Saccharomyces cerevisiae S288C: one gene and its partners. Changing the gene in region 2 together with the main gene of any one other region gives a genetic interaction. Each region holds a gene or a part of one and is shown on either strand. Other genes may lie near its edges.

What was found.
Region 1: mutations in SWI4 (region 2) and SEC22 together harm fitness more than expected from each alone (negative genetic interaction), as found in Saccharomyces cerevisiae (5 studies listed by BioGRID).
Region 3: mutations in SWI4 (region 2) and RXT2 together harm fitness more than expected from each alone (negative genetic interaction), as found in Saccharomyces cerevisiae (6 studies listed by BioGRID).
Region 4: mutations in SWI4 (region 2) and UME6 together harm fitness more than expected from each alone (negative genetic interaction), as found in Saccharomyces cerevisiae (5 studies listed by BioGRID, with this or other methods).

The regions. Positions count from the first base shown.
Region 1 is NC_001144.5:678,596-685,621, forward strand, and holds SEC22 (SNAP receptor SEC22), read left to right. Parts: upstream 1-1,604; coding exon 1,605-2,249; downstream 2,250-7,026. Other genes in the region: BOP2 (Bop2p), read left to right, coding at 1-1,329; DCS1 (5'-(N(7)-methyl 5'-triphosphoguanosine)-(mRNA) diphosphatase), read left to right, coding at 2,591-3,643; CMG1 (Cmg1p), read left to right, coding at 4,142-4,966; condensin subunit YCS4, read right to left, coding at 5,077-7,026. UniProt on the Saccharomyces cerevisiae protein: Nonessential SNARE involved in targeting and fusion of ER-derived transport vesicles with the Golgi complex as well as Golgi-derived retrograde transport vesicles with the ER.
Region 2 is NC_001137.3:379,801-389,749, reverse strand, and holds SWI4 (SBF complex DNA-binding subunit SWI4), read left to right. Parts: upstream 1-3,873; coding exon 3,874-7,155; downstream 7,156-9,949. Other genes in the region: TMN3 (Tmn3p), read left to right, coding at 1-1,818; U6 snRNA complex subunit LSM4, read right to left, coding at 1,955-2,518; karyopherin KAP123, read left to right, coding at 7,647-9,949. UniProt on the Saccharomyces cerevisiae protein: Part of a complex involved in cell-cycle-dependent transcription. SWI4 and SWI6 are required for formation of the cell-cycle box factor-DNA complex. The repeated element in the upstream region of HO (5'-CACGAAAA-3') is called the cell cycle box (CCB).
Region 3 is NC_001134.8:433,906-437,688, forward strand, and holds RXT2 (Rxt2p), read right to left. Parts: upstream 1,794-3,783; coding exon 501-1,793; downstream 1-500. Other genes in the region: PBY1 (putative tubulin tyrosine ligase), read left to right, coding at 1-392; YBR096W (uncharacterized protein), read left to right, coding at 2,116-2,808; ubiquitin-binding serine/threonine protein kinase VPS15, read left to right, coding at 3,046-3,783. UniProt on the Saccharomyces cerevisiae protein: Component of the RPD3C(L) histone deacetylase complex (HDAC) responsible for the deacetylation of lysine residues on the N-terminal part of the core histones (H2A, H2B, H3 and H4).
Region 4 is NC_001136.10:862,916-872,041, reverse strand, and holds UME6 (DNA-binding transcriptional regulator UME6), read left to right. Parts: upstream 1-4,519; coding exon 4,520-7,030; downstream 7,031-9,126. Other genes in the region: cysteine-rich palmitoylated domain-containing protein CPP2, read right to left, coding at 741-968; YDR209C (uncharacterized protein), read left to right, coding at 593-1,006; MSS4 (1-phosphatidylinositol-4-phosphate 5-kinase), read right to left, coding at 1,479-3,818; EBS1 (Ebs1p), read right to left, coding at 7,334-9,126. UniProt on the Saccharomyces cerevisiae protein: Component of the RPD3C(L) histone deacetylase complex (HDAC) responsible for the deacetylation of lysine residues on the N-terminal part of the core histones (H2A, H2B, H3 and H4).

The DNA of each region.
Region 1 (7,026 bases), on a different chromosome or scaffold from region 2:
AAACTCATAGAAACCTTCTTCCCCTTGGCGAATTCCAATTCAAACATAATCGAGTTCGTATTCTGTGTTCGCAATATAAAGAGTTCGTTTTATTCACCTTTGGAAAAATTACATATTGCGAACATAGTCGCAGATATTGATATTAACACATTGTATCTGGACTTCGTGGATTCAAATATCTATTCGGATCAAAATTTCTTTGGGATTTTTGATCCCGATATTTTTCAGCTGATTAATAAAAACTATAGAAACTTCTTTTCTAAGACTAACGAAAAGGGGAAGAAAAGACCCCCCATTTGCAAGAAAATCTGTTTTCCCTTTGTTGAAACATTGAATTTGGATTATATGGCCCTTGATTCATTCTTTAATTCGATACTGCATAAACTAACAACAAAGATAAAAACATTTGAAAGGAACAATGAGTTTGACGTGGATAAAAATTTAAATTTAAACTCGACAACGACAGTAGCAGCTTTAATTATCAAGTCGATCTTGCAACAATTCTTCAACAATTTTCATATCAGCTTCCCTAATTTGGTTACCTTGAATTTTATTAAGATGTCTACCTACCCAAACAATAATGAGATTACCCAATGTTGTAACTTCATAGATTTATCTTCATATGTTCTAAACAAATGTTTAAGTGAGAATATCTCGATAAATTTCCTCTTTCAGTTGCACTCTTTGAAAAATTGGTCAATGCCCAAGATTAAAGAATTCACTGGGCACAAATTCAAGTATGACGAAACAACATTTTCAGGTTCACCAGAAAGGTACATCAAATCATTGAGGGGAAACATTAAAATTTTGCAAGAAATGGCAATTAACGAAACCAACGATGGTACTTGCTATTTCAGAGTCAAGTTGATACCTGAGGGGGTAGAAAAAACTCAAATAATCAACTGGATCCCCTTTACTTCTTCATTTAGCGATGATACCTTCAAACAAAGACACCATTTAAAGAGGCCAATGATTTGCTTGAAGAACAACTCTTTAAGATCGCTCACTGTCAAAATCATACGTATTGAAAAATGTTCATCCATCCGAATCCAGGGATTTTACCTACCAAATCTGCAGGAACTGTTCATCAACAATACCCTTTGCGACACCACCCAACACCAAAAACAAGCGTCAAATGATATGAGTTGTATAGAGTTCACTTCATGGAATGAACTACCACAATGCAAGAAATTGGGATTTGCTCAATTAGAGGACGACTCTAACTACGTTCTTAATATCAGTAACCTACAAGACCATTTACCAAATCTGGACCTGCGGGAGAGTTTCCCAACTTTCTTCGATATAAGACAGAAGTTTGTCGTGGTTTGAGGTCTAATTTTCAACCAAACGTGTTGTACTAGCATATATAATTAAATAAATTTCTCTAGTTATCACTTGATTTATCTAATAAGAGACGTCATAAACGAATTTTTTTTTAGCAATAAATCCTCAACGCTTTTTGTTTTCATTTTTCGGTCTTTTTCTACCATAGAAGATAAACAAGTAGAGCCCATGTAATATAATATATCTACAACCTATTATTACCCAAAACCAACAAAAACCCTGACAGTGACACCCCGTTACACACTCACAATTAAGTAGGGATGATAAAGTCAACACTAATCTACAGAGAAGATGGGCTGCCTCTTTGTACGTCTGTGGACAACGAAAATGATCCCTCATTATTTGAACAAAAGCAAAAGGTGAAAATCGTCGTTTCCAGATTGACACCACAGTCTGCCACGGAGGCTACTTTGGAAAGTGGCTCCTTTGAGATCCATTATTTGAAGAAATCCATGGTGTACTACTTCGTCATTTGCGAATCTGGATACCCAAGAAACTTAGCATTCTCATACCTTAACGATATAGCGCAAGAATTTGAACACTCATTTGCTAATGAGTACCCCAAGCCTACCGTAAGACCATACCAGTTTGTAAACTTTGATAACTTTCTACAGATGACAAAAAAGTCATACAGTGATAAGAAAGTTCAGGACAATTTGGACCAACTAAACCAAGAGCTTGTAGGTGTCAAGCAAATCATGTCCAAGAACATCGAAGACCTACTTTACAGGGGAGATTCTCTCGATAAAATGAGTGACATGAGTTCTTCTTTGAAAGAAACATCCAAAAGGTACAGAAAGTCCGCGCAAAAGATCAACTTCGATCTCTTGATCAGTCAATATGCTCCTATTGTCATTGTCGCTTTCTTTTTCGTCTTTCTCTTCTGGTGGATCTTCCTCAAATAGACGTCACCCCATCATCCCACATCACAAATCCCGATCAATTTGGTCCAAGTGTATAACATAGTCTAGTTCAGTATTAGTATAGTATGGCAATTTATTTGACATAATTACGTATTTTTCAGGCAAGCTGGCAGGTGACCCGCCGCACCTGCACTTTTTAGGGAGTCTTTTCAAGGATATCATCACTATATATCGAAGGAAAAGAGGCTTTCCAACTCTTTTGGATGATCGAATTGCCATCACTACTCTATTAACTGTCTGTGTATTAACTAAATAATCACATAGTATTAAGTTATAATTCCTGGAAAAAAAAAGAAAGCGAAACGACAAAATTAGCATATACCATGTCTCAACTGCCAACAGATTTTGCTTCATTGATCAAGAGATTCCAATTTGTTAGTGTCCTCGATTCCAACCCTCAAACCAAAGTTATGTCCTTATTGGGAACCATTGACAACAAGGATGCTATTATCACGGCTGAAAAGACGCACTTTCTATTTGACGAAACCGTGAGAAGACCCTCTCAAGATGGCCGCTCCACTCCAGTTTTATATAATTGTGAAAACGAATATTCTTGCATCAACGGAATTCAGGAATTAAAGGAGATTACTTCCAATGATATTTACTACTGGGGTTTGTCAGTGATAAAGCAGGATATGGAGTCGAACCCTACCGCCAAGTTGAATTTAATTTGGCCTGCTACTCCAATTCATATCAAGAAATATGAACAACAAAACTTTCATTTAGTCAGAGAGACTCCTGAGATGTACAAGAGAATTGTTCAGCCTTACATCGAAGAAATGTGTAATAACGGTAGACTTAAATGGGTAAACAACATTCTTTATGAAGGCGCTGAGTCAGAAAGGGTCGTTTATAAAGATTTTTCTGAGGAGAATAAGGACGACGGCTTCCTAATTTTACCTGATATGAAATGGGATGGCATGAACTTAGACTCTTTATATCTAGTTGCGATCGTCTACAGGACCGATATCAAGACAATAAGGGATTTAAGATATTCTGACAGACAGTGGTTAATCAACTTGAACAACAAGATTAGATCCATTGTTCCTGGTTGTTACAACTATGCTGTCCATCCGGATGAGTTGAGAATTTTGGTTCACTACCAACCTTCTTATTATCATTTCCACATTCACATCGTTAACATAAAGCATCCCGGTTTAGGTAATAGTATTGCCGCGGGCAAGGCCATCTTGTTGGAAGACATCATTGAAATGTTAAATTATCTAGGACCAGAAGGCTACATGAACAAGACAATCACCTACGCTATTGGTGAAAATCATGATTTGTGGAAAAGGGGTCTGGAAGAAGAACTCACTAAACAATTGGAAAGAGATGGTATCCCAAAAATACCCAAGATTGTGAACGGTTTTAAATAAAGGTTGTTAAAATTCTCACATCATCCACCTTTTTCCTACTCTCATTTTCTTTTTTTGAAAGTTGTTTGTTTTATATACCTTAGTTTCACAACAACATAAGGCATGCCTATTTGAGATTTTGTGATTAAAAAATAATAGAATACGTACTATATAACCGTCGGTTTAAAGTAAATAAATTAAAGACTAAGAATGAAACAATTAAAAACACTGTTCAATAACGTTGCTCTATCCTCCTGAGTCTTCCGGATCCTGTCTCCATTTTTTTGTGTGGTGACGAGTTGAGATAAAAAGATTTCCACTGCTGAGAATAATATCTATAATCGATAATGAAAGTTAGAACGATCACGTTGACTCTGAAATATAGTCAATAGAAAAAATTAGGTATCAATTCAATTGTAATATTTACTGGATTGAATTTAATTTAAGAATTACAGAATAAGAGGACGGACAATAAGAGGTACGCTACACATCTACCATCACTTTCAGGGAGGGCATAAAATGGAGGAGAGTAAGACAAAAAGAAAAGAGGATCGCATAGATTTGAAGAATACACCGCCTCAGAAGAAGTCAAAAAGAGATTCAACAAATGACGAAACTGCACGCACATCACTACGTTCAATCATGCCCAGGGGTTATAAAATGATGGAAAACATGGGTTACAAAGAAGGAGAAACATTAGGTAGTAATGAAAGTGCCCTAAAAGAGCCTATTAAGGTAGAAATCAATACAAAAAGGAGGGGAATTCGTGCAGAAAAGCCCGACCCATCAACAATGAATGACATGCAGATGAGTGAACAACGATTTATAAAAAGAGAAAGTGAAATGAAAAATAATAAGCGGTTAAAAAAAATTTGGTATAGGATCCAAAAAGTTGCTTTTGAAATGATGGGTGATTCCGATTTATACAATCCAGGCGAAGATCCGAGAGACTTTAACGTACTTTGGAGATCTTACGTTATGCAACTAAATGAGGAAGTAGCAAAAAATGACCTAAATAATCACAGTAACAATGATAATGAAGATAAGAATAATATGATACCAATGGTAAATGAAAGTTTGGAGGCTTCGCCTGCAATAAAAGGTGAAAAGTTTGGACGTCCTTCTACATTAATAGATTGTGATACTTCAATTATCGGTAGTCGCATTACAAAAGACACAGAACTTGCTGAATTAGAAGAATTGAGCATTGAAAAAAGAATAACAAAATTGAATATATTCCTGAGGTCCGAGAAGTACTACTGTTTTTTTTGCGGAATCAAGTATAAGGATGAAGGTGATCTCTACGAGCATTGCCCAGGAGTGAATGAAGACGACCACAAATGAATTTTATCGAGATAGGTAAAGTCATATTTCAAGAAGAAAGAAATGAACAGCTTTTATTTATATAATAACATATAATATAAAACGGAAGAAACGGGTAAACGTCAGTTCGATTATTCTTTTGCGGATACAACCTTGAAACCTTGCTCCAATAATGCAGTGACGTCTTCATTTTTGTATGGTAGATTGTTTAGTACGAATGCAATATCATCCCATTGCTTTTGGGTCTCGCACTTTCTCAGTCTTCCAACTAATTTCTCGTTTAATTGCTTTTGGTGCCGTTCCTTATCGATAAAAGTTAACAGAAATTTGATGATTTTCTTGAAACTCTCCTTACCCAATAAATCATCTGACGATAAATTACTAAAGATATCGATGAATCCATTATAAATGGCGTTGTCCTTGGATGCTAACTCGGTGAAAAATAATCTGCACATATCACTTATTCCCTGGTCTGGATTGTCTAGGCATTTGGCCATTTCTCCTAATTGTCCTTTAACCTTAACCTGTCCAGCTAAAATCAAGAAGGTAACTGTCATTAAACATGTTCTTTGTACCATTAAGTTTTCATCATGCAAACGGCGATACAAATAATCTGTGTTTTCGTCTACTAAGTTGTTGAAGCATACTGCCATGTCACCTAGTCCTAAGACAGCATTTGAGCGAATAGTAGGATCAGGAGATTTTTCCATTACTGTGATTAATAGCGGCAGGCTCTTTTCACAATATTTTGATGATAAACACATTAGTTTTTCTAGACATAAGGTTGCCGTTCTTTGAAGCATTGGATCGCTAAACCTGCTTGAATTAGAAACAATCTCTTCTACAATTGGGCAAAACTTCCCTAATATAGATTTTTCTCCAAATAGTAATTCATTCTCTTTTACAAATTGAATAGCATCCGTGAAATCGTCCTCATTAGTACCTCCTATCATTTCTAGCTCTTTATCACCACCGTTATCTTGTGTGGTGTTAGTTACATCTGCACCTTGGTTTTTTACTTTACCGTTCCGAGTTTCTGCCTCGATCTTTCTTTTCTTGAATTCTGCCTCACATTTCTCTAGATAGACAAGTGTTTTAATTGCCACTTGTCCTACAATGAATAATAATTGACTGAGAGAAACAACTCTAGATGATTGTTCTAACGACAAAATAGAGTCTTCCTCTTCAGGTTTACCAAATGTCATCATTGTCTTTTCTCTAATCAGATCTGTAGCTAGTATATCGGGCTTAGAAGAGATTGTAAACAGTGCACTAAGCGCTTGTTCGCACATAGGATAATATTCATTATCCTTGGTATAGTTGATAATTATGGCATACAACTTTTTCACTGCAACATCTTCAAGCTCTTGATTTATTGCCTTGGTAATAATAGTGCTTCTCTTGGGAACCATTCTCTCTAACGCTAAACAAGAATACCGACAAAGGGTCAGATCTTTTAAACCAACGGCACCAAGTCCAATGTTTAAAAGTGACTCCAGTCCTTTTAATGCTATTTCGTTATCGGCTAACGATAACATTCCTAAAATAATAATAGAACCATGAATTTGTTCCTTAGAAAACCCTTTTTCGGAGTCACGGTTGTTCACATTTTGTTCTTTCTGCATACTGGCCTTCGATGCAGAATTGTAAATAGCCCAAAGGATATTAATGACATGTTGATCAATCAATTTTTGTTCATACATCATTCCTAATAGCTGTTCCAAAGAGGCCAAGTCTGCAATAGATGCGCCGATGCTTAGATTAATTAAATTTTTGGCAATATGTGCCGCCTTCTCCTGCATATTGCAACTATCTGGCGCGGTTAAAAATAGCTGCTTATAACATTCTATCAAATGTACTGATATACTCGTTCCTTCATCGTTTGTGCCCTTCATCCAAACCAAATGCAGCATTTTTTTTATACCAAATTCGCTTAACTCAATGTCAAAAGCGTCTGCTAAAACTAGGAAGTCCATTGATTCTAAAACTTCGTTTCTGTTCTTAGAAAACAGCAAATTAGATATCAATTCAATACTCTTGTGTATCTCTTTAATGAAACTAATGGCATCTTTATAGTAAAC
Region 2 (9,949 bases):
AACGAAATAATAAGAGGGGATAGGAAATGGGAAAGCGACTATAAACTCAAATTTGGCGAAGACAATCCATGTGAAACGTTGTGTGCCCGGAAAACTACCAAAGAGGGCATGCAGACCTTAGACAAGTTAGTCAGGGAGGGATACGTCGTACAATGGCTAATTGATGATGAATTGCCGGCTGCCACTACCTTTATTTCCACCACTGATCATAAAAAATATTATGCATCTGGGTTTCCTTTAGGTTTCATAGATCCTGATACAGATAAAACCTATCTGCATAATCACGTAATGCTGGTAATACGTTTTCATGCCAGTGATAATGATAAAAATACCATAGTCGGCTTTGAAGTATATCCAAGATCTGTGTCAGATTATCATTGTCCTGGGGCATCGAAGAACTACGAACAATACGAAATAGTCATTCCTGAGGATGAAAATGAGTTGACATATTTGCCATTTACTTACTCCGTATATTGGAGGGAAGAATTTGAAGTAGACTGGAATCATAGATGGGATTATTTCTTGAACGCAGGTGAGTTATCTGACGAACAGAGCATTCAGTTTCATTGGATGAGCTTAGCCAATTCAGTGGGAATTGTATTGTCCATCTCATTTATCACGCTTATTATTTACGTACGAGTCATGTACACGGATAAAAGTAATTCAAAGTCCCCCAAATACATGATAAATATAGAAGGAATTGAAACAGAGGATGACCTGGACGATGACAAGTATGGTAAATACTCCGTTTACACGGTGGCGAAAGACTGGATACAAAATGGTAGACCAAATTTATTTGGTTTAAAAGTTTTAATCCTTCTGGTCTCATTTGGGGTGCAATTTTTATTTACCATAATTGGATCCTTAACGATATCATGTTCAATGAACAAATTGCATAATGTAAGAAACAGTGTGCTAACTATGGCCATTTTATTTTTCGTACTTGGAGCATTCATGGCATCATTCGTAGGGACAAGACTCAGTATGGTAACGAAAACGAAAAGAACCAAGGCCAATTACCTTGACGATAACAGATACCTCAAAGACTACAAGAAGTTTAGTCCCATTTTTACGATACTTTGTGGGTCCAGCTTACCTGGCATTGTAATGGTGAGCACATTTTTATTAAATAGTATTGTTTGGGCACATGATTCTACAAGTGCATTACCATTCAAGACTATTGTGTTTTTCATGAGCATTTATTTCATCGTCTGTATACCACTCAGCTTGTTTGGTGGTATTGTAGCTAATAATATACCTTTGCCTCAATATTGGTTGAGTGGAATTACTAAAGATGAAAGCAATAGCGATGGCAATGGATTATTTGTACCTAAATCACGAGCCAAGTTCAACCCGTTGGTTTACTGCGGCATTTATTTATGTGGTATTTTCCCCTTGTTAGTAATTTACGTGGAAATGCAATACGTTTACAAATCTCTCTGGTTGGAGAAAACTACATTTTATTATTTTTACGGATTCCTTTTTTTGAGTATCATACTATTATGCGTGTTAACTATGGAGATATCAATTATTGGAAGTTATTTATTAATGAGATTTTGCTTCGAAGATAAGGTGGTTCGCAACAATTGGAGATGGAAGTGCTTTGAAATGGGATTTAGCGGTGGTGTATATATGGAATTGTATTCGCTATATTACATTTTCGCAGTGCTAAACATCCATGGGTTTTCATCTATCTTAATTTCCATTTGTTATAGTTTAATCTTCAACGTAATGTGCAGTTTAGGGCTTGGCGCATTAAGTTACTTAACGGCTTCATGGTTTATAAATAAAATATACCACCAGAAAGTCAACCTGTAAACTAAAGGAAAGCTCGGTAATAAAAAGAAGAAAAGCTTTTTTTAAAGAAAACGGTAATCAACATTCACATACACACACAGTACATATGTACCAATATATTTATATATGTACATAATTATTATAATACAAAATTTGTTTAAAATTCGACCTTTTGTGGAGAAGAGCTGTTAAAATGATGTTGGACGGACCCACCTAAACCATTGTTCATATTTTGGTTGTTGCTATTGATACTGTTGATACTGTTGTTAATGTTACTGCTGTTGCTGTTGTTGTATTGACGGTTTTGAGAGTATGGACGGCGGTTGCTGTTGCCGTTATTATTATTTCTTCTGTTGTAGTTACCTCTATTGTTGTTTGAATCCCTATTGTTGTAGTATCTTTTATGCCCAGGGCCGTTACTATTAGAGTTATTGTTGGAGTTAATTTGCTGCTTGACCTTGTCAATTATATTATCTTGCAATTTGATAAACTTGATAAAAGTCCCTCTAATATAAATTTCGTTCAATTTTACGGCTTTACTGCTCTCAGCATTGTCTTCTGAATTAATTGCGCTTTCTTCACTATATTCGGTTACATTAGATAAAGTAAGGTTCATCCAGTTATCTACGTTGGTCAATATCCCTTGTATAATTTCACCGTTTTTCAATTCTATTTGCATTTGTTGTCCCTTCGCATTTGTTAAAAGATATAAAGGTAGCATTGAGAAAAAATATTCTATTGTGTTTCTTTTCAGTTCGAGTTGAAGATTTATCAGTTTTTCAACTCTGTTTTACTAATACTACTTCGTTAATTTACTTTTACGATTTCCTTCTTTACCGCTTCCATCATTAGGAAGGTCTATGATACTACGATTTCACGAAAGAAAGCTGCAATAATTGAACATCATTGCTACTCCGTAAAACATGATAGTAAGAGTGCTTATCACGTGACACGTGTGCGGCAAATTTCGTAATTGATGATCAAAATGCGTGTGGGCGGCTACAATGCGGAATTTGCCTTTTTCATAGTACAGGAAACTGGCGGTAAAGGAAAAGTAGTACTTTAAACTCATTTAAAATTACTTATCACTATGAATATCTTTAAATTATTGTTATACATAATAAACTATCTATTAAAAAAAAGATGCTACCCAATTCACGTTGTCCATGGTTATTTTAGAGCCTAAAAATAAAAGGCAGTAGGTTTAGAGGGACTTCAGTACAAGTAGATAACGAACGAAGCAATTACTCTGTGTACGGTGGCGGAAAAAATGAAATGTTACTTAAGAAGGAGGTAATATAAGTACATTACATTTCAACCGCATTGTGACTGCGTACTTTAAACGATAGGTGACTGCGGATCTTAGGTCGTTTAGCAGCATACGAAAATTAGTTTTACTAAACTAGACATCTAGTAAAAGGCTGTCGAAATCTCTCAATTTAAAGAGAACCTGCTACTGACTATAAATTTTGTCACTACAAATTATTGGTTTAATCTAGCCTTCATTATGGATACAATTACCTTCGGCGGCTAAAAACAACTTGATTTTGTTACCCGCGTTTGAAGTGACGCGTCACTAACCATGACGCGAAAGTTAATTATATTCAGCTCCCCGCCTGCTTATTTCCCGTTTAGGAAATAAATGGTTAACCTAACAAAAAAAAAAGAGGAACAAGGACTAAGAAGCACGTCAACGTGAAAAACGCACAAAAGATATTATAGTTATTGCCATCCTTTAGCATTGGTTTAGCATATCAACTAATTGACTAATATTTGCTGCTAAATTCAACTGGAAGCTTTTTTTTTTTTCGAGATAATAAAAAAAGAAACTCTTTAGTGTATTGTGTTATTTTTACTATTAATTGTTGTTACAGCAGAATCACATCTAGCATTGGTCGTCGCTTTTTCAAACGATTCTTCCTCCACTTACCCTTTGAAAAAAAGGTACATTATTTCACGTTATTTGATATATTGTCAACAATAATTGCTCTTTGCCGAAAATTAACTCTTCTTTCTTTCTCATTTCCCTTCTGTCCCTCTTGCGTAGTTCTAAAAGGTTGATTTATTCGAGAAATCATGCCATTTGATGTTTTGATATCAAACCAAAAAGATAATACCAATCACCAGAACATCACGCCAATATCAAAATCAGTTCTTTTGGCGCCTCATTCAAACCATCCAGTGATTGAAATAGCTACGTATTCAGAAACCGATGTATACGAATGCTATATACGTGGGTTTGAAACTAAAATAGTGATGAGAAGAACTAAAGATGATTGGATTAATATTACCCAGGTTTTCAAAATAGCTCAATTTTCGAAGACGAAAAGAACTAAAATACTGGAAAAGGAATCAAATGATATGCAACATGAAAAAGTTCAAGGTGGGTATGGTAGGTTTCAAGGTACTTGGATCCCACTGGATTCAGCGAAGTTTTTAGTCAATAAGTACGAAATAATTGACCCTGTGGTCAACTCCATCTTAACTTTTCAATTCGATCCAAATAACCCTCCACCAAAGAGAAGCAAAAATAGTATATTGAGGAAGACTTCGCCGGGAACGAAGATAACTTCTCCATCGAGCTACAATAAAACACCAAGAAAAAAGAACAGTAGTTCATCAACATCGGCTACAACTACAGCTGCGAATAAGAAAGGCAAGAAAAATGCATCGATCAACCAGCCGAATCCAAGTCCTTTACAAAACCTTGTTTTCCAAACTCCTCAACAGTTCCAAGTAAATTCATCAATGAATATAATGAACAATAATGATAACCACACCACGATGAATTTCAACAATGACACAAGACACAATTTAATAAATAATATTAGTAACAACAGCAATCAATCTACTATTATTCAACAACAAAAATCCATTCATGAAAACTCTTTCAATAATAATTATTCGGCAACTCAGAAACCTCTTCAATTTTTTCCAATTCCGACAAATTTACAAAACAAGAACGTTGCTCTGAATAACCCTAATAATAATGACAGTAATAGTTACAGCCATAACATCGACAATGTCATTAACAGCAGTAATAACAATAATAATGGCAATAATAATAACTTGATCATAGTTCCAGACGGACCTATGCAAAGCCAACAACAACAACAACATCATCATGAATATTTGACGAATAACTTCAATCATTCCATGATGGACTCCATTACAAATGGCAATAGTAAAAAAAGGAGGAAAAAGCTGAATCAATCTAATGAACAACAATTTTACAACCAGCAAGAAAAAATACAAAGGCATTTCAAATTAATGAAGCAACCCTTATTATGGCAATCCTTTCAAAATCCAAATGATCACCATAATGAGTACTGTGACAGTAACGGCAGCAACAATAACAACAACACTGTAGCATCCAATGGCTCCTCCATTGAAGTATTTTCATCAAATGAAAATGATAACAGTATGAATATGTCTTCACGATCTATGACACCGTTCAGCGCAGGAAATACTTCATCTCAAAACAAGTTGGAAAACAAAATGACAGATCAAGAATACAAGCAGACGATATTAACAATACTATCATCGGAAAGGTCTTCTGATGTAGATCAAGCGTTGTTGGCTACTTTATATCCGGCGCCCAAAAATTTTAACATAAATTTTGAAATTGATGATCAAGGTCACACTCCACTCCATTGGGCTACAGCTATGGCGAATATTCCTTTGATAAAAATGCTAATTACCTTAAATGCTAATGCATTACAGTGTAATAAGCTCGGTTTTAATTGCATCACAAAATCAATTTTCTACAACAATTGCTACAAGGAGAATGCTTTCGATGAAATAATATCCATCTTAAAAATATGTCTTATAACTCCCGACGTAAATGGAAGATTGCCATTTCATTATTTAATTGAATTGAGCGTTAATAAGTCCAAAAATCCAATGATAATAAAATCTTATATGGATTCGATAATATTGAGCTTGGGTCAGCAGGACTACAATTTGTTGAAGATATGTTTGAACTACCAAGATAATATAGGGAACACTCCACTGCATTTATCTGCTTTAAACTTGAACTTCGAGGTTTACAACAGACTGGTATATCTTGGTGCGTCAACAGATATATTGAATCTAGATAACGAATCGCCTGCGTCAATAATGAATAAGTTTAATACTCCGGCTGGCGGGTCAAACAGCAGAAACAACAACACCAAGGCAGATCGAAAGTTAGCTCGAAACCTTCCTCAAAAGAATTATTACCAACAACAGCAACAGCAACAGCAACCACAAAACAATGTCAAAATTCCAAAAATTATAAAAACTCAACATCCTGATAAAGAAGATTCTACTGCAGATGTCAATATAGCTAAAACAGATTCTGAAGTCAACGAAAGTCAATACCTGCATTCCAACCAGCCAAATTCTACAAATATGAACACTATTATGGAAGACTTGTCGAATATTAATTCTTTCGTGACGTCGTCTGTCATTAAAGATATAAAGTCTACGCCGTCCAAAATTCTTGAAAACTCTCCCATTTTATACAGAAGAAGATCACAGTCAATATCAGATGAAAAAGAAAAGGCAAAGGATAATGAGAATCAAGTTGAAAAGAAAAAGGATCCCTTGAATAGTGTGAAAACTGCCATGCCATCATTGGAATCGCCTTCTTCCCTTCTGCCGATACAGATGTCTCCACTAGGAAAGTACTCAAAACCGCTTTCGCAGCAGATCAACAAATTAAATACAAAAGTTTCTTCTCTACAAAGAATAATGGGTGAAGAAATTAAAAATCTGGACAACGAAGTAGTAGAAACCGAATCCTCTATTTCTAACAATAAGAAGAGATTGATTACAATAGCACATCAAATAGAGGATGCTTTCGATTCCGTATCAAACAAAACTCCCATAAATTCGATATCAGATTTACAATCAAGGATTAAAGAAACATCGTCAAAGTTGAATTCTGAAAAGCAAAATTTTATTCAAAGCTTGGAAAAATCTCAAGCTTTAAAACTGGCTACAATTGTCCAGGATGAGGAATCAAAGGTTGATATGAATACTAACTCAAGTTCACATCCAGAAAAACAGGAAGATGAAGAGCCAATTCCAAAGTCAACGTCGGAAACTTCTTCTCCTAAAAACACCAAAGCGGACGCCAAATTTTCTAATACTGTACAAGAATCATATGATGTAAATGAGACGTTGAGACTAGCAACGGAACTAACTATTCTACAGTTTAAAAGAAGGATGACAACATTGAAAATAAGCGAAGCTAAAAGCAAAATTAATTCATCGGTGAAGTTAGATAAATACAGAAACTTGATTGGTATCACAATTGAGAACATTGACTCAAAATTGGACGATATAGAAAAGGATTTGAGGGCAAACGCATAAATTTTAATTCACAATGTACCAATAATTTTTACTATATTATCAGAGTTTTTAAATTTTTTTTTTTTTTTTTTGGTAGCAATTTTTTACATATTTGTATAGTCACTTTTCTCATTGCGCTTGAGTTGCTTCAAGTGCATGTCAACAAACATTTGAACTACTAAACTTAGACTATTATGGTTAGCCCTTTGCTAATTATCAGGATGTCTTTTATTACGATTGTGCTTTGTTTTCGTACAATATGATGAATGGAAAGCGCGATGAGATGAGGTCGAAAAAAAAAAAAAAAAAAAAAAAAATAGAAACATCCACTTATCCATAGATCCTTCATTTTATTTGTTGTCAGGTTTGGTATTGATTTTATTAGTCAACAAAAAAGAATAGGCAAGACCCCGCAAGGATCCTTCTTCTCGTTTCTGTATATTACCAAAATCCTGCCTTAGCAGCATAAAAACTGAGGGACGAAAAACACTTTTTTAGTATCAAGTAGTATAATGGATCAACAATTTCTAAGTCAACTTGAGCAAACTTTGCACGCTATCACTTCTGGTGTAGGCTTGAAGGAGGCTACAAAAACTTTGCAAACTCAATTTTATACCCAGCCTACAACTTTGCCAGCTTTGATTCATATTTTGCAGAACGGCTCCGATGATTCGTTGAAACAACTAGCTGGTGTTGAAGCTAGAAAGTTGGTTTCCAAGCACTGGAACGCCATTGATGAATCCACTAGAGCCTCCATCAAAACATCTCTTTTACAAACAGCATTTAGTGAGCCAAAAGAAAATGTTCGTCATTCCAACGCTCGAGTAATTGCTTCTATTGGTACTGAAGAGCTAGATGGTAACAAATGGCCAGATTTAGTCCCTAACCTAATCCAAACTGCTTCTGGTGAAGACGTTCAAACAAGACAAACTGCCATTTTTATTTTGTTTTCTCTGTTGGAAGATTTCACCTCTTCTCTATCTGGCCACATCGATGACTTTTTGGCTTTGTTCTCTCAGACAATTAATGATCCATCTTCTTTGGAGATCAGATCATTATCTGCCCAGGCTTTGAACCACGTTTCTGCTTTGATTGAAGAACAAGAAACCATCAACCCTGTTCAAGCTCAAAAATTCGCCGCCTCAATTCCATCTGTGGTTAACGTTTTAGACGCAGTTATCAAGGCCGACGACACCATGAACGCTAAATTAATCTTTAACTGTTTAAACGATTTCCTGCTATTGGACTCCCAATTAACAGGAAACTTTATTGTGGATTTGATTAAGCTGTCTTTACAAATTGCTGTTAACAGTGAGATTGACGAAGATGTTCGAGTTTTTGCTCTTCAATTCATCATATCTTCATTGTCCTACAGAAAATCGAAGGTTTCTCAAAGCAAATTGGGCCCAGAAATTACTGTTGCAGCTTTGAAGGTGGCTTGTGAAGAGATCGATGTTGACGATGAATTAAACAACGAAGACGAAACAGGCGAAAATGAGGAAAATACACCCTCTTCTTCTGCTATTAGACTGTTAGCTTTCGCTTCCTCTGAACTGCCACCATCCCAGGTTGCTTCCGTTATTGTTGAACACATTCCAGCTATGTTGCAATCCGCAAACGTTTTTGAGAGAAGAGCTATTCTTTTAGCTATTTCCGTTGCTGTTACTGGTTCTCCAGACTACATTTTGTCTCAATTCGACAAAATTATCCCTGCCACCATAAACGGTTTGAAGGATACTGAACCGATTGTTAAATTAGCTGCTCTGAAGTGTATTCACCAATTAACCACTGACTTACAAGACGAAGTTGCCAAATTTCATGAAGAATACTTGCCATTGATCATCGATATCATTGATTCTGCGAAAAACATTGTCATTTACAACTATGCAACTGTTGCTTTAGATGGTCTGCTTGAGTTCATTGCTTATGATGCTATCGCTAAGTACTTGGATCCATTAATGAACAAACTATTCTATATGTTGGAAAGTAATGAATCATCCAAGTTGAGATGTGCTGTTGTTTCTGCAATTGGTTCCGCTGCTTTTGCAGCAGGTTCCGCGTTCATTCCATATTTCAAGACTAGTGTTCACTATTTGGAAAAATTCATCCAAAACTGTTCTCAAATTGAAGGTATGAGCGAAGATGATATAGAACTAAGGGCCAACACTTTTGAAAATATTTCTACTATGGCCAGAGCCGTCAGATCAGACGCATTTGCCGAATTTGCCGAACCTTTGGTTAACTCCGCCTATGAGGCCATCAAAACTGATTCTGCTAGATTAAGAGAATCTGGTTATGCATTCATTGCAAACTTGGCTAAAGTTTACGGCGAAAATTTTGCTCCTTTCTTGAAAACTATCCTACCAGAAATCTTCAAGACACTAGAATTAGATGAATACCAATTCAACTTCGATGGTGATGCAGAGGATTTAGCCGCATTTGCTGATTCTGCCAATGAAGAAGAACTACAGAACAAATTCACCGTTAACACTGGTATTTCCTATGAAAAGGAAGTTGCTTCTGCAGCTCTATCCGAATTAGCATTGGGTACGAAGGAGCATTTCTTGCCATACGTCGAACAATCCTTAAAGGTTTTGAATGAACAAGTCGATGAGTCGTACGGTTTAAGAGAAACCGCTCTAAACACCATCTGGAATGTTGTTAAGTCTGTCCTGTTGGCTTCCAAAGTAGAACCAGAAAGCTATCCTAAGGGTATCCCAGCCTCTTCCTACGTTAATGCTGATGTTTTGGCGGTTATTCAAGCTGCCAGGGAAACTTCCATGGGTAACTTAAGCGATGAATTCGAAACCTCAAT
Region 3 (3,783 bases), on a different chromosome or scaffold from region 2:
ATTCTTCTGTTTTGGAGTTTGACTCCATAGAGGAAATTCCAAATGAGAGAAAGTCCAATATTAAGGAGCAAATCCATAGCATAACGAACGACGTTTTCTTAGCTGCTGTAAATGTAAATAGATTAAACTTCCAACCGTTACCAAACGCATTTGAAACATATGGCGTAGACTTTTTGATTGATTCGAATTACGAAGTTAAATTACTAGAGATCAACGCTTTCCCAGACTTCAAACAAACTGGGAAAGATTTGAAGAACCTCATTGATGAATTATTTGATGACACTGTCAAATACTGTGTTACCCCCATCTTTAACGAGAATAGAAATAAGACAGATGATGAAACAGACCCGAACTTCGTAAAAGTCATTGATTACACTTCAAACGGTTGGTGAAACAAAAAAAAAAAAAGAACCCATCCTAAAATACTGTTATTATTACTAAATAGTGCTAAATAATACATATGCCTTGATTTTATTTCCGAAATTTTTTGTTTTGTCAATTTAGGCTCTATTAGCTTCTTCATCAGGTTCATTATCGTCTACAACACCGTCTTCCATGGTATTTTCAATTTCTTCCTCAAAATTTGTTGTCTTATTTGTTGTAGCACTGATCAGACCTCTCTTCACAACACGTAGAGCCACCGGGATAGTAATATCATCGTCAGATATACCCAAATATTCCCGACTCCAATTTAAAATCCTACCTCTTATTCTATTGGCTTTTATTACAGACTTTCTGATTTTTTGTAAGTTTCTTATGAATTCTTTATTCCTCTGTAGTGCAATCTGCGACAGCTGTCGGGCAGACTCAATTTCCTCATTTAACTGTTGTTGTTCGGCCGCTGTTAATGTTGATATAGAAGCAGAACCGGAAGAAGATGGCAGCAACGATAACAGCGCATTAGATTGTTCCAACCTTGGCAATGCAAAAAAAGGATCTTCCTCTCCAAATTCTTCCATGCCATTATTGATATGACCAGCTTCAGTAGACAAACTATTCGAGTTAACCTCGTTGATATTGTTTTTGTTGTTAATGTCATCCTCGTCGCTTGCCCCTCTATCCTCTGGAAGGGTCAAATTGTGATTATAAGATGGTAGGTTCAAGTTAGATTCATAAATTGGTTCAGGATGATCTCCTAAAAAAACCTCCAAAAACTGGGAATATCTAACAACTGACATCTGTTCTTTTTCAATCATTAGAATTATTTGCAAGGCTAAATTTTTCAAAATTGGGCTTGAAAATGTCCTTGAGATAGTTTTATGATTTATTATATCCCCTAGGGAAAGAATGGGAGTCAAAATCTCCTTTACATTCACTAGTTTTGATAGGTCGTCATCGTCTTCTTCGCCGTAATACTCATCAGTGATATTTTCGTCTTCCTTCTCACTACCATCGATGTCGTTTTCATCACCGACTAAAACAGGCTCGACGTTGATGTCAGGTGTGAATTTTATTCTTTTGCGTCTACTATCAGTGACAATATTTGTTTGCAGAAGGCGATGCTCCGAACCGTTATAGAACACAGTTTGCTCAATCATTGGCTTAGAATTGTTCAAGTCTCTTCTTGTTACTACTTCGCTTCTCTGCAAAAGTTTGTTACCTCTGTTAGAGGATATGCCAGTGGCCTCAGGATAGATTAGTTTTCCATCAAGGGATCTTTTCAGTACCTGATAGTTACCGCTTTTTTCCTTTATTATCCTTCTAGTAAATGTGCTAATTATATTCGATTCATTAGCTAACACACTCTTGCTTTCCAATTCTGCGTTGTTTTTCATACTGCTCCTAATAGTCATCTCGATCAACAAGAAGCAACAGCTGAGATATTTGTTTCTCAACCTCTTTTTTGCAGGAGATGCTGTCATCAAGCAACGTTTCTTCTATTTGAAAGCGATTGTTTTACCAGAACAAAGTTCGCTACCCGGCTTCGGTCCTCTTGGGTATAGGAGACAATAATGATCTTCGAATAACGCCGTTATAAAGTGAACATTATAATTATCCGCTTAAAGGCTTTTTAGTAATTTTGTAAAACAATTGCTTCTAATTTCAAGACTTCCAAAAGGTTTCTCGAGTAACTAGTGCTTTCCAATATCTACAACAAAATAAAATAATAGAATAATGGGTGTTTGCACTATTTTTAGGTGGCTCTTTGCTGCTTACTTGCTCTCTTCATATAAGTCGCTTCCTGGGGCATATTTTGTTAGGTTTTATTATTATGTTATTCAAAACTTGTTCTTGCCTATGTTTACAGGGTTTGAAACCGAGAATATTAAGAAACTTGAGAAAAATGAATATGGCTGTTTCTCGTACACCAGCCTAGATACCTATGCCTCTCCATTCGAATGTGACTTCTACTTTCATAAGAGCAATAGCACCTATTTTGCGGAATTGGACATTTCAAGAGGTAATCTCATGTGCAAGATTTTTCAAAAATTGATGCTGAATTCCAAGCATTATCCATATATTCCAGTTGCGAACGTTTTCACTAATTTCTTGAAGGAAATCAAGCCTTTTCAAAAGTACTCGGTTTCATCAAGGATTATCTGTTGGGATGAGAAATGGATTTACGTCATGAGTAGATTCACAATTAAAAAGGGCACCGTCTTATGCTCATTATCATTGACCAAATACGTCCTTAAGGACGGTAGAAAGACCATCAAACCAAAGGATGCTCTTGAATACTGTGGTTTATATAATGAGAAGGTCGCCAAAATTTCTGAGGACAATCTAAAGCTTTTAACCGAGCGTTGTGGTTTCCACGAGACAGTACCATTGGAAAACTTGAGCCAAGAGTACTGTTCAGAAATCTAACTTCTATACACATATAGCCGGTATTATAAAATATATAAATCTATCTTCTTTCAAAAGTTTCTCTGTGCAGTCTGCGTTATATTTTATCTTCGGTAGAAAACAAGGTAAATTTCCCTTATTTTTCAACATCATAAAAATGAAAAACAGATATATCTTAAGTAAGATACTTAAGCAGACAAGTTGAATTGGAGAAATACAAAAGCTGTAAGGTTATCAAAAAGGAAGGCATACAGTATAATGGGGGCACAATTATCACTAGTGGTCCAAGCATCACCTTCCATAGCCATTTTTTCATATATCGATGTCTTAGAGGAAGTACACTACGTTTCACAGTTAAACTCATCAAGATTCTTAAAAACATGCAAGGCACTGGACCCTAACGGCGAAATTGTTATCAAAGTGTTTATTAAACCAAAAGACCAATATAGCTTACGACCTTTTCTCCAACGTATAAGGGCTCAATCGTTTAAGTTGGGACAACTACCGCACGTTTTAAACTACAGTAAATTGATCGAGACAAATAGAGCCGGCTACATGATACGGCAGCACTTAAAAAATAATTTATATGACAGATTGAGTTTGAGACCTTACTTACAAGACATTGAACTGAAATTCATTGCTTTCCAGTTGTTAAATGCATTAAAGGACATTCATAATCTGAATATTGTCCATGGTGATATAAAGACAGAAAATATCCTAGTAACAAGTTGGAATTGGTGTATATTGACAGATTTTGCTGCATTTATCAAACCCGTATATTTGCCTGAAGATAATCCAGGTGAATTTTTATTCTACTTCGACACCTCGAAGAGAAGAACCTGTTATCTAGCCCCGGAGAGGTTTAACTCTAAACTTTACCAAGATGGAAAATCTAACAATGGTAGGCTAACTAAAGAAATGGACATATTTAGTCTTGGATGTGTTATTGCAGAAATATTTGCTGAAGGAAGACCCATCTTCAACTTATCACAGCTA
Region 4 (9,126 bases), on a different chromosome or scaffold from region 2:
AAAGGGAATCTGCAATTCTACACAATTCTATAAATATTATTATCATCGTTTTATATGTTAATATTCATTGATCCTATTACATTATCAATCCTTGCGTTTCAGCTTCCACTAATTTAGATGACTATTTCTCATCATTTGCGTCATCTTCTAACACCGTATATGATAATATACTAGTAACGTAAATACTAGTTAGTAGATGATAGTTGATTTTTATTCCAACATTTACACCTAATATCATAGCCTTTGTCAACAATGGAATCCCAACAATTATCTCAAATTTCATCCATTTCTCAATATAGATAAGCATAGATATTATATTTTCGATAGCGACTTTATTATTAGGCATATAGAATGCATTAAAAGTTCTCTTCGAGGATTTAGAAATCCACAAGAGTGATCGATATTTTTATATAATAAAAATATTATTCTTTTATTTTATATGCTGTTAATTAATTATCCTGTCACATTACCAATTCTTGAACTTCAGCGTCCATTAAATTAGATAATTGCTTCTCATACAATGTGATTTCTTACACCGCATGTGATAGGATACTAGTACGACGAATAACTTCAAATTTTATTTCAACAACAGATGAACGATGGTCAATTCTTGTTCCAACGTAACGATCCCATCATATTATATACATTTTTGCTTAAAAGTAATTATACAGTCTTTCGCAGCATAGATGAAAGGCTATGTGATTTCGTTTTTTATATTGACCACTTCTTGAACAAACGAATCAGTTATCGCATACCAATTCTAATAAGAAACAACAACACAAACATTTTAAACAACTGTCCAAGCAGCTTTCCTCCTTTGGTTGACCTTGTTGGACATAGACTGGTTGCTGCTGAGGATAACCCTGTTGCGGTGGACCTTGTTGATAATAACCTTGTTGTGGTGGACCTTGTTGATAATAACCTTGCTGTGGGGGTCCTTGTTGGTAGTAACCTTGTTGTTGGCTCATTAGTTTTCGCTCTTTTGACTTGTTTCGAAGACGGATAGTCTCCCTTTGCCTTTCTTTATTTTTATTCTGGCACTTTAGTTTATATAACGTTGCAGTTCACCATCGGCCTCGAGCAAAAAAAAACAGTAGAAGGCAAAGCAAAGTAAACAGGCAGTAAGCGCAAAGAAAAGTTCGTACAGATATAATCGAATTTTCTCGTTTTTTGACATTTCGTATCCTCTTAAAGCCGCTTAGCCACACACTGCGGAAGAGATATGGCATGGTTCCGAACAATTAGGTTTGGAATAGGGTCTCGCTGAATTATTAGCTAGCGTGGCTTATGCAAGCCTGACGTGGCCTGAGAATATGGAAAAAAGAAAAAAAAAAAGCAAAAATAGAAAATAAGAAAAGGATTGAAATTAAAATATTAAAATTAAAGGGAAAAGAATAGATTTATATAACTTGAATTAAATTAAATCAAAGTAGATTAGACTGAGTACATAGACGATAGGTTATTTACCTGTGCCCTACTCAGTCTTTATAATTTTTCTGGTTAGGGTCGTCTCTATACGACGATTGAGTTTTTTTCTGGGGCAGAGGATCTACAGAATCTTCTATGAATTCGTAAAACCTATTGGCGTAGTCTCTTGGAGGTATGGCACTCACCAACTTGGTATCATGGCGTAGACTTCTCCAAAACGTTTCTAATTTCTTCATAACTGAGTAATTAGTCAAGAAATCGATTATCCCCACGTAATAAATCAAATCCACATCATTGTTGAATTGATCAGATGCTCGAATTCCACCTTCAAACTCTCTAAAAAAATGTCGTACTACCGTTCCGGTACCGGTTCTTATGGGTCCTTGAGTCTGTGGTTGCTCCTCAATAGATGCCGTATCCGCCAATTGTAAGTCGTCTTCTTTAGCTTTATTGATGTCATGAATGCCAATTAACAAGGAATAGTCCATTGTATTCAATTTAGCAAGCAATTCCACATCTTTTTTCAGCTGTGTCAAAAAAGTCTTCTTCTTCAATGGACCGAATTTAATTTTCTGACCTTCTTCAAGCCAATTTAAATCTTTCATCACAGGCCTATATGATCTATCTTTCGCCAACCTTTCTTTATCCAAATTGGTAAAACGGCCCCATGTGGAACCTTTTAAATCATAAGTAATGTGAATGTCTAAGTGTGGTGGAAATAAGTTATTCATGACTAGGAAGTAAATTTTCCGATGCTTAATTTTATTTTGAAACGATATAGGCATTTTCACTCTATGCAAACCATAAAATTGACAAATCAAAGTGTTTGGATTGTCTCTTACATGGTTATAGTATTCTTGTATGTGCTTTCTCAGATGAATATGCTCAGAATGATGTATGGTCTTGATAATATATTTGTAATCTCTCGAATAATAAAAAAATGAACCACTTTTACCTGGCGAGTTCAACTCACTCAAAATGTACTTGGAAGTTAACGAAACCAAATAATCAGCAGGGTCTAAGCCGAATAATGCACGAAGTTCCCTAAAGACTTCGGGACAGTAGTCCTTAAACTTAAATGCATACTGAGAAGAAGGGGTCAATTCATTTCCGTGATAATCAAAGGCAAGCTTCTTCGTAAATCTAAAGTCTGCCGGAGTTAAAGGTTTCATTATGCCAGAACAACGTGACACTGCGACACGAATACCAGTTAGCATGTTATAAGCTATAATAAAGTTGACATGGCCTTCACTGACTTTATTACCGATCAAAACACGATCGTCATCCACCAAAAATGTTTTTCTTTTCCTTTTCATTTCTCTTTTATGCAGCAAAGATTGTCTCATCTTCTTAATTTCTGCCGTTGCAGACTCTGATCTTTTCAGACCCGTAGCAGCGGTAGTAGTAGTAGTATTATTATTAACAGCAGCAGCATTAGCAGCGTGATTATGGTTGGTGCCACGACTGTGTTGATAGTAGTGGTCATTCTCTGGCGGCAAAGAAGTGGTTGATTTGGATATCATATGATATTGCTTTGACTTTTGAGAAGGTTGTGGAAGTGGGTGAAGAGGCAAAGAAGTCATTGAGTGACTAATTTTAGTAGCAGAATTTGGTTTCATGCTGGTATCTCCATTGGCCAATTTTATTACATCTGAATCATCCATAGGTAGAATTTGAGAATGCTTGGAAGCGTGAAAGGGAATATTGGGCAGGTTTGAATCCTGAGTATTTCTTCTTTGCTTAATTGTCGTGGAAGTTGCTGTTACTGCCGATATTCTGGAAGATCGCCTCGAAACGCGCTTGTTTAGTAAAATATGATCGTCATTTAAGTCTTGTATATACGAATCTGTGTGAACAAGACTGGAATTGTCCAAATCCAAACAATTATTCGAGTTTAACGAGGGTGTTGTTATTTTCTTCGACTCCTTACCTTCGGGAAAACTATATTTCTGCATTTCCTTGTTACTAGTGCTATTTGGTCGGGGAGAAGTTATGGTGTTTGGATGATCATCATCCGTATTATTATTGCTGTTGTCATGCAAAGGATCAATTGATATTGAGTAGTTTCTCTTCACCAGCCTCGAATTATTTATTGTTGGGTTTAACTCTTCAATAGAGGTCGGAGTGGAAGACTCACCATCTGACAAGCGAGGACTTTCCATGTTTGACTCCGAATTCGATGAAGAATGGTAGCTAGTGTGATTATTGCGATCCTTTTTTATTCGATGGTTCGAATCCGGATTCGAATTCGAATTCGGCACCGAACGGTCTTGATGTCGCTCAATTATTGCAGAGTGCAATAGCGATGGTTCCTGTTCTGTTTTGCGACTGGTGGATGTTGTCAGATGTAGCGGTACAACTGAAGGAGGTTGTGATCGCAAGACTGACATGAGTTAGAAACTATTGATAGGGAAAAGCGATATAGGGCAACTGTCTCGGGGGGTGTAAACAGGTTTCGTACTCTCTTGCTTATGAATGTGCTACTTCTTGTTCCTATTTTTTGTTTCTGTCCTTGTTTTTTCTTTGCTTGTCCCTCCGTATTTGCTTCTTTGTTGTCACGCTTTTGTTATTTCCACCTCTATCTTTCCTCTCTGTCCCATTCCCCATCCATTCCTTTCTTTTTTTTTTTAACCTGTGTTTTGTTTTCCCAGAATGGGCGGCACGTTCTTATGTCCGTAAAAACGGATATACAAAAGCGACACGTCGTCTGAGGTGACACTCCACTCAACCCCACTTGCCCAAAACATGCATTGCTACAAGTAGTAGAGCGCAGTTTTTAAAGTCCATTGGTTGCACACGAAATCACGAGAATAATCACGAGAATAGAATGCACGTTGGATTTCGGGCATCCTATAATTGCCAAGACTGCGCTACTTCTCTTCTGTTTCGGTCCGGGTGACACGTCCGCCGTGCTTCAAGGCGCCTTTTCACCAATGCCAGGCGGAAACTGCCGCCGTCAAAAAGAAAAATGAAAAGAACATAGAGGACAAGGACAAGAGACCAGTGATCGTAAGAAGCGCCCACCTTCGCACAGCGCACAGGAACTAGGACACTACCGCACTCAAACCATTTGCATGGACCTTAACTCACGATGCTAGACAAGGCGCGCTCTCAAAGCAAACACATGGACGAATCTAATGCGGCTGCCTCTCTGCTTTCGATGGAAACAACCGCCAACAATCATCACTATTTGCACAATAAAACATCTCGTGCCACGCTGATGAATAGCAGCCAAGACGGCAAAAAACATGCAGAAGATGAAGTTAGTGATGGAGCTAACTCCCGCCATCCTACAATTTCCAGTGCTAGCATCGAATCTCTCAAGACAACCTACGATGAAAACCCTTTGCTTTCTATTATGAAATCGACATGTGCGCCCAACAACACTCCCGTGCATACTCCGTCTGGTTCGCCGAGTTTGAAAGTCCAAAGTGGCGGAGATATCAAAGACGATCCTAAGGAAAACGATACTACTACTACGACCAATACTACACTTCAAGATCGCCGTGACAGCGATAACGCTGTGCATGCTGCCGCCAGCCCACTCGCGCCTTCCAATACACCTTCGGATCCTAAGTCATTGTGCAATGGCCATGTCGCACAGGCTACAGACCCACAAATTTCCGGTGCTATTCAGCCGCAGTATACTGCAACCAACGAGGATGTTTTCCCTTACTCCTCCACCTCCACTAATAGTAACACTGCCACTACTACTATCGTCGCCGGCGCCAAAAAAAAAATACATTTGCCGCCACCACAAGCTCCAGCGGTTTCTTCCCCCGGTACCACCGCAGCAGGCTCGGGCGCGGGCACGGGCTCGGGCATCCGTTCCCGCACAGGATCGGATTTGCCGCTCATCATTACCAGCGCCAACAAGAACAACGGTAAGACTACCAATTCGCCTATGTCGATACTGAGCAGAAACAACAGTACCAACAACAACGACAATAATTCGATACAAAGCTCAGATTCGAGAGAATCCTCTAATAACAATGAGATTGGCGGGTATTTGCGCGGCGGAACTAAGCGCGGCGGCAGTCCATCTAACGACTCTCAGGTCCAGCATAATGTGCATGATGACCAATGTGCCGTGGGCGTGGCGCCCAGGAACTTCTATTTCAACAAGGATAGAGAGATAACAGACCCAAATGTAAAACTGGACGAGAACGAATCAAAAATCAACATATCGTTCTGGCTAAATTCGAAATACAGAGATGAGGCTTATTCTTTGAATGAATCATCCTCCAACAATGCTAGTTCAAACACGGATACGCCTACAAACTCTCGACATGCGAACACCAGCTCTTCCATTACCAGCAGAAACAATTTCCAGCATTTTAGGTTCAACCAAATACCTTCTCAACCTCCAACTTCCGCATCTTCGTTTACAAGCACAAACAACAACAACCCTCAACGGAACAATATCAATCGCGGTGAAGACCCGTTTGCCACTTCGTCAAGACCTTCTACTGGGTTTTTTTACGGCGATTTGCCGAATCGTAACAATAGAAATAGTCCCTTCCATACAAATGAACAATACATCCCACCACCTCCACCGAAATACATCAATTCTAAATTGGATGGATTGAGATCAAGATTATTGCTCGGTCCGAATTCTGCATCTTCATCTACCAAACTAGACGACGACTTGGGTACAGCAGCAGCAGTGCTATCAAACATGAGATCATCCCCATATAGAACTCATGATAAACCCATTTCCAATGTCAATGACATGAATAACACAAATGCGCTCGGTGTGCCGGCTAGTAGGCCTCATTCGTCATCTTTTCCATCAAAGGGTGTCTTAAGACCAATTCTGTTACGTATCCATAATTCCGAACAACAACCCATTTTCGAAAGCAACAATTCTACAGCTGTTTTTGATGAAGACCAGGACCAAAATCAAGACTTGTCTCCTTACCATTTAAATCTAAACTCTAAAAAGGTTTTAGATCCCACTTTTGAGTCAAGGACAAGGCAAGTTACTTGGAATAAGAATGGTAAGCGAATAGACAGACGCCTTTCTGCTCCAGAACAACAACAGCAACTGGAAGTTCCACCATTGAAAAAATCGAGAAGGTCAGTTGGAAACGCAAGAGTAGCAAGCCAAACCAATAGCGATTATAATTCTCTTGGCGAATCCTCAACTTCGTCAGCTCCATCGTCTCCATCTTTGAAGGCTTCTTCTGGCTTGGCATATACCGCTGATTATCCTAACGCTACTTCGCCGGATTTCGCTAAATCTAAAGGAAAAAATGTCAAGCCTAAGGCAAAATCAAAGGCGAAACAGTCATCAAAGAAAAGACCAAATAATACTACTTCGAAATCAAAAGCAAACAATTCTCAAGAATCGAATAATGCTACTTCCTCAACGTCTCAAGGTACAAGGTCCCGTACTGGTTGCTGGATTTGTAGATTAAGGAAAAAGAAGTGTACCGAGGAAAGACCGCACTGTTTCAACTGTGAAAGGTTGAAATTGGACTGTCACTATGACGCGTTCAAACCAGATTTTGTATCTGATCCAAAGAAAAAACAGATGAAACTGGAGGAAATCAAGAAAAAAACAAAAGAGGCCAAAAGAAGAGCAATGAAAAAAAAATAAAAGCTCACTGAAAAAAAAAAAGAGATATTGTTACTATTATTATTATTATTACTGTCATTAATACTATACTAATAAAGAAAAGGAAAATACGCATAATAATATTTAATTAACAATAATATAACATATATATATATATATATATATGTATGTACTACCATGTAATTTCAAAGACTTTCAAAAGAAGTTATACGTCAATTCTCGTGTACAAATCAGTCAAACTGTAATTCATTCGTACTGATAAGCCAAATTTCTACCTAGTATTCATATGAAGATTTGAAAAACTATGATAAAAAACGAACAATATTAAAACATATTATTCCGACTGTTTCCCCTCATGCTGTCCGTGTTGCTTTGGGCGTCAAAAGGAAATTGCATGTACTTCCCCACATCTTGCTGCATAGGTTGTTGAAACATTTGCCGTTGCGCTTGCGCATATGCTGACGACGGCGCAGATGTCTGGTACTGGTCACCTAGCCACGTTGGATTTGCAAAATTCATTGACTTTAATGAGTAAGCTTCGCTCTGCCATTGTAAATTTTGTGCATTATAAGGCGGAAAGACCCCTTGCCCCTGCTGGTTCAAAAAAGGATAGGGATAGGATACCATGGAGGCAGATGGAGGCATCGAGGCATTCTGATACGCGGAGTTTAATGAAGACATCGATGAAGGTTGCTGTGATGAATACAGACCACCTTGCATTGGCCTCTGGGCTTGATGGCAGACGTCATTCGCTGGAATTTGTTCATTCACCCCTTGCATGGATTTGGCAAATGATTTTTCCGCGTGCTTTTGTTGCATTGAAGATAGGATGTTGTTCAAATCGAAGGATGATTCATCTGTCGAATTTGAAGAAGAGATCGCTGCGTTACTGTAACCAGGAGATATATTCGTAATAGCGCCATCGGCGTTTTGACCGCTTAGTTCGATTTTTAACAGTTCTACATTTACTTTGTTCCCCGTTATTGTACCGCTGGGCTTAACATTGAACGTATCTGGGGCCATAGGTACAGACGAACCACTATAACCCATAGTTGGAGAAAAAGAATCCAAAGAGCTACTTCTCATTTGTCTCTCCAAATCCGCCATGGATATTGAGCCATTAGTGGTCGAAGGTTTGTTTTTTCTTTGTAACTTGGCCTTTTCATTGGATTGCTTCGATGTCTTCATACTATTTTTAACGGTCTCCTTAAATCCAATTTTCTTATTAAAGATATAACGTGATTTATTATCTGACCATTCTACTCCGCAGTTGTTGTTCTGCAATAATTGCGAACTTATATTCACAACAGCCTGCAACCTTAACAGCATTTCAGATGATGCCGATAACTTGTCGCATAATGGCGGATTACCAATTAATCTATCGAGACTATGATCCATTTCAAGAATTTTTTCATAATCGTCAAAATCAGATAGTTGAAAGTTAACGAATGATAAACCCTTCACCATTAAGTCTTCTTCGAACCAGTATGTCCTTTTAGGAATATGTTCTGTTATACTAAAAGAAGGACTTGGTTTTTTTTTCACAATATCATTTATCAAGTATGCCAAGGCATTAACAAACTCTAGATTACTTTGTGAATATTGAAGAACCATGGGATTTGCTTTTATCCAACAATTGATAATTCTTACCATACCTAGAATTTCTGAAACCTCAGGATTTTCGCTCCATGATTCCTTAACGATATCATTTAAAATGTGAGCAATATACTTGAATGCAAAATTTAGGTAATCCAATTCATTGCTACGTAAATCCTTCAAGGTTTTTGCACTTACATCGGAACGCCTTTTTAATAATAGATGGAACCCACCAATTGTAATGATCAAATTGTGAAAGATGGTCTTAATATTATTCAGGTATCTTGCTGACATCGTCTCGTAGAGTGCATTTTCCAAATGCCTTAACTTGATACCGTTATTTAATTGGTTAGGTTTTGTATCATCTCTCCAACTGGTAGGTGACCAAACAGACCCAAAAAGGCCCAGGAAATAAAATTCTAGTATCTCTTTAGCAGGTGTCCTGGGTCCTTTAGATTCTTGTAAGTAAGTGTTCATGATAGTAGTATGCAAGCTACGATTTAATGAACTTTTATTGTCCA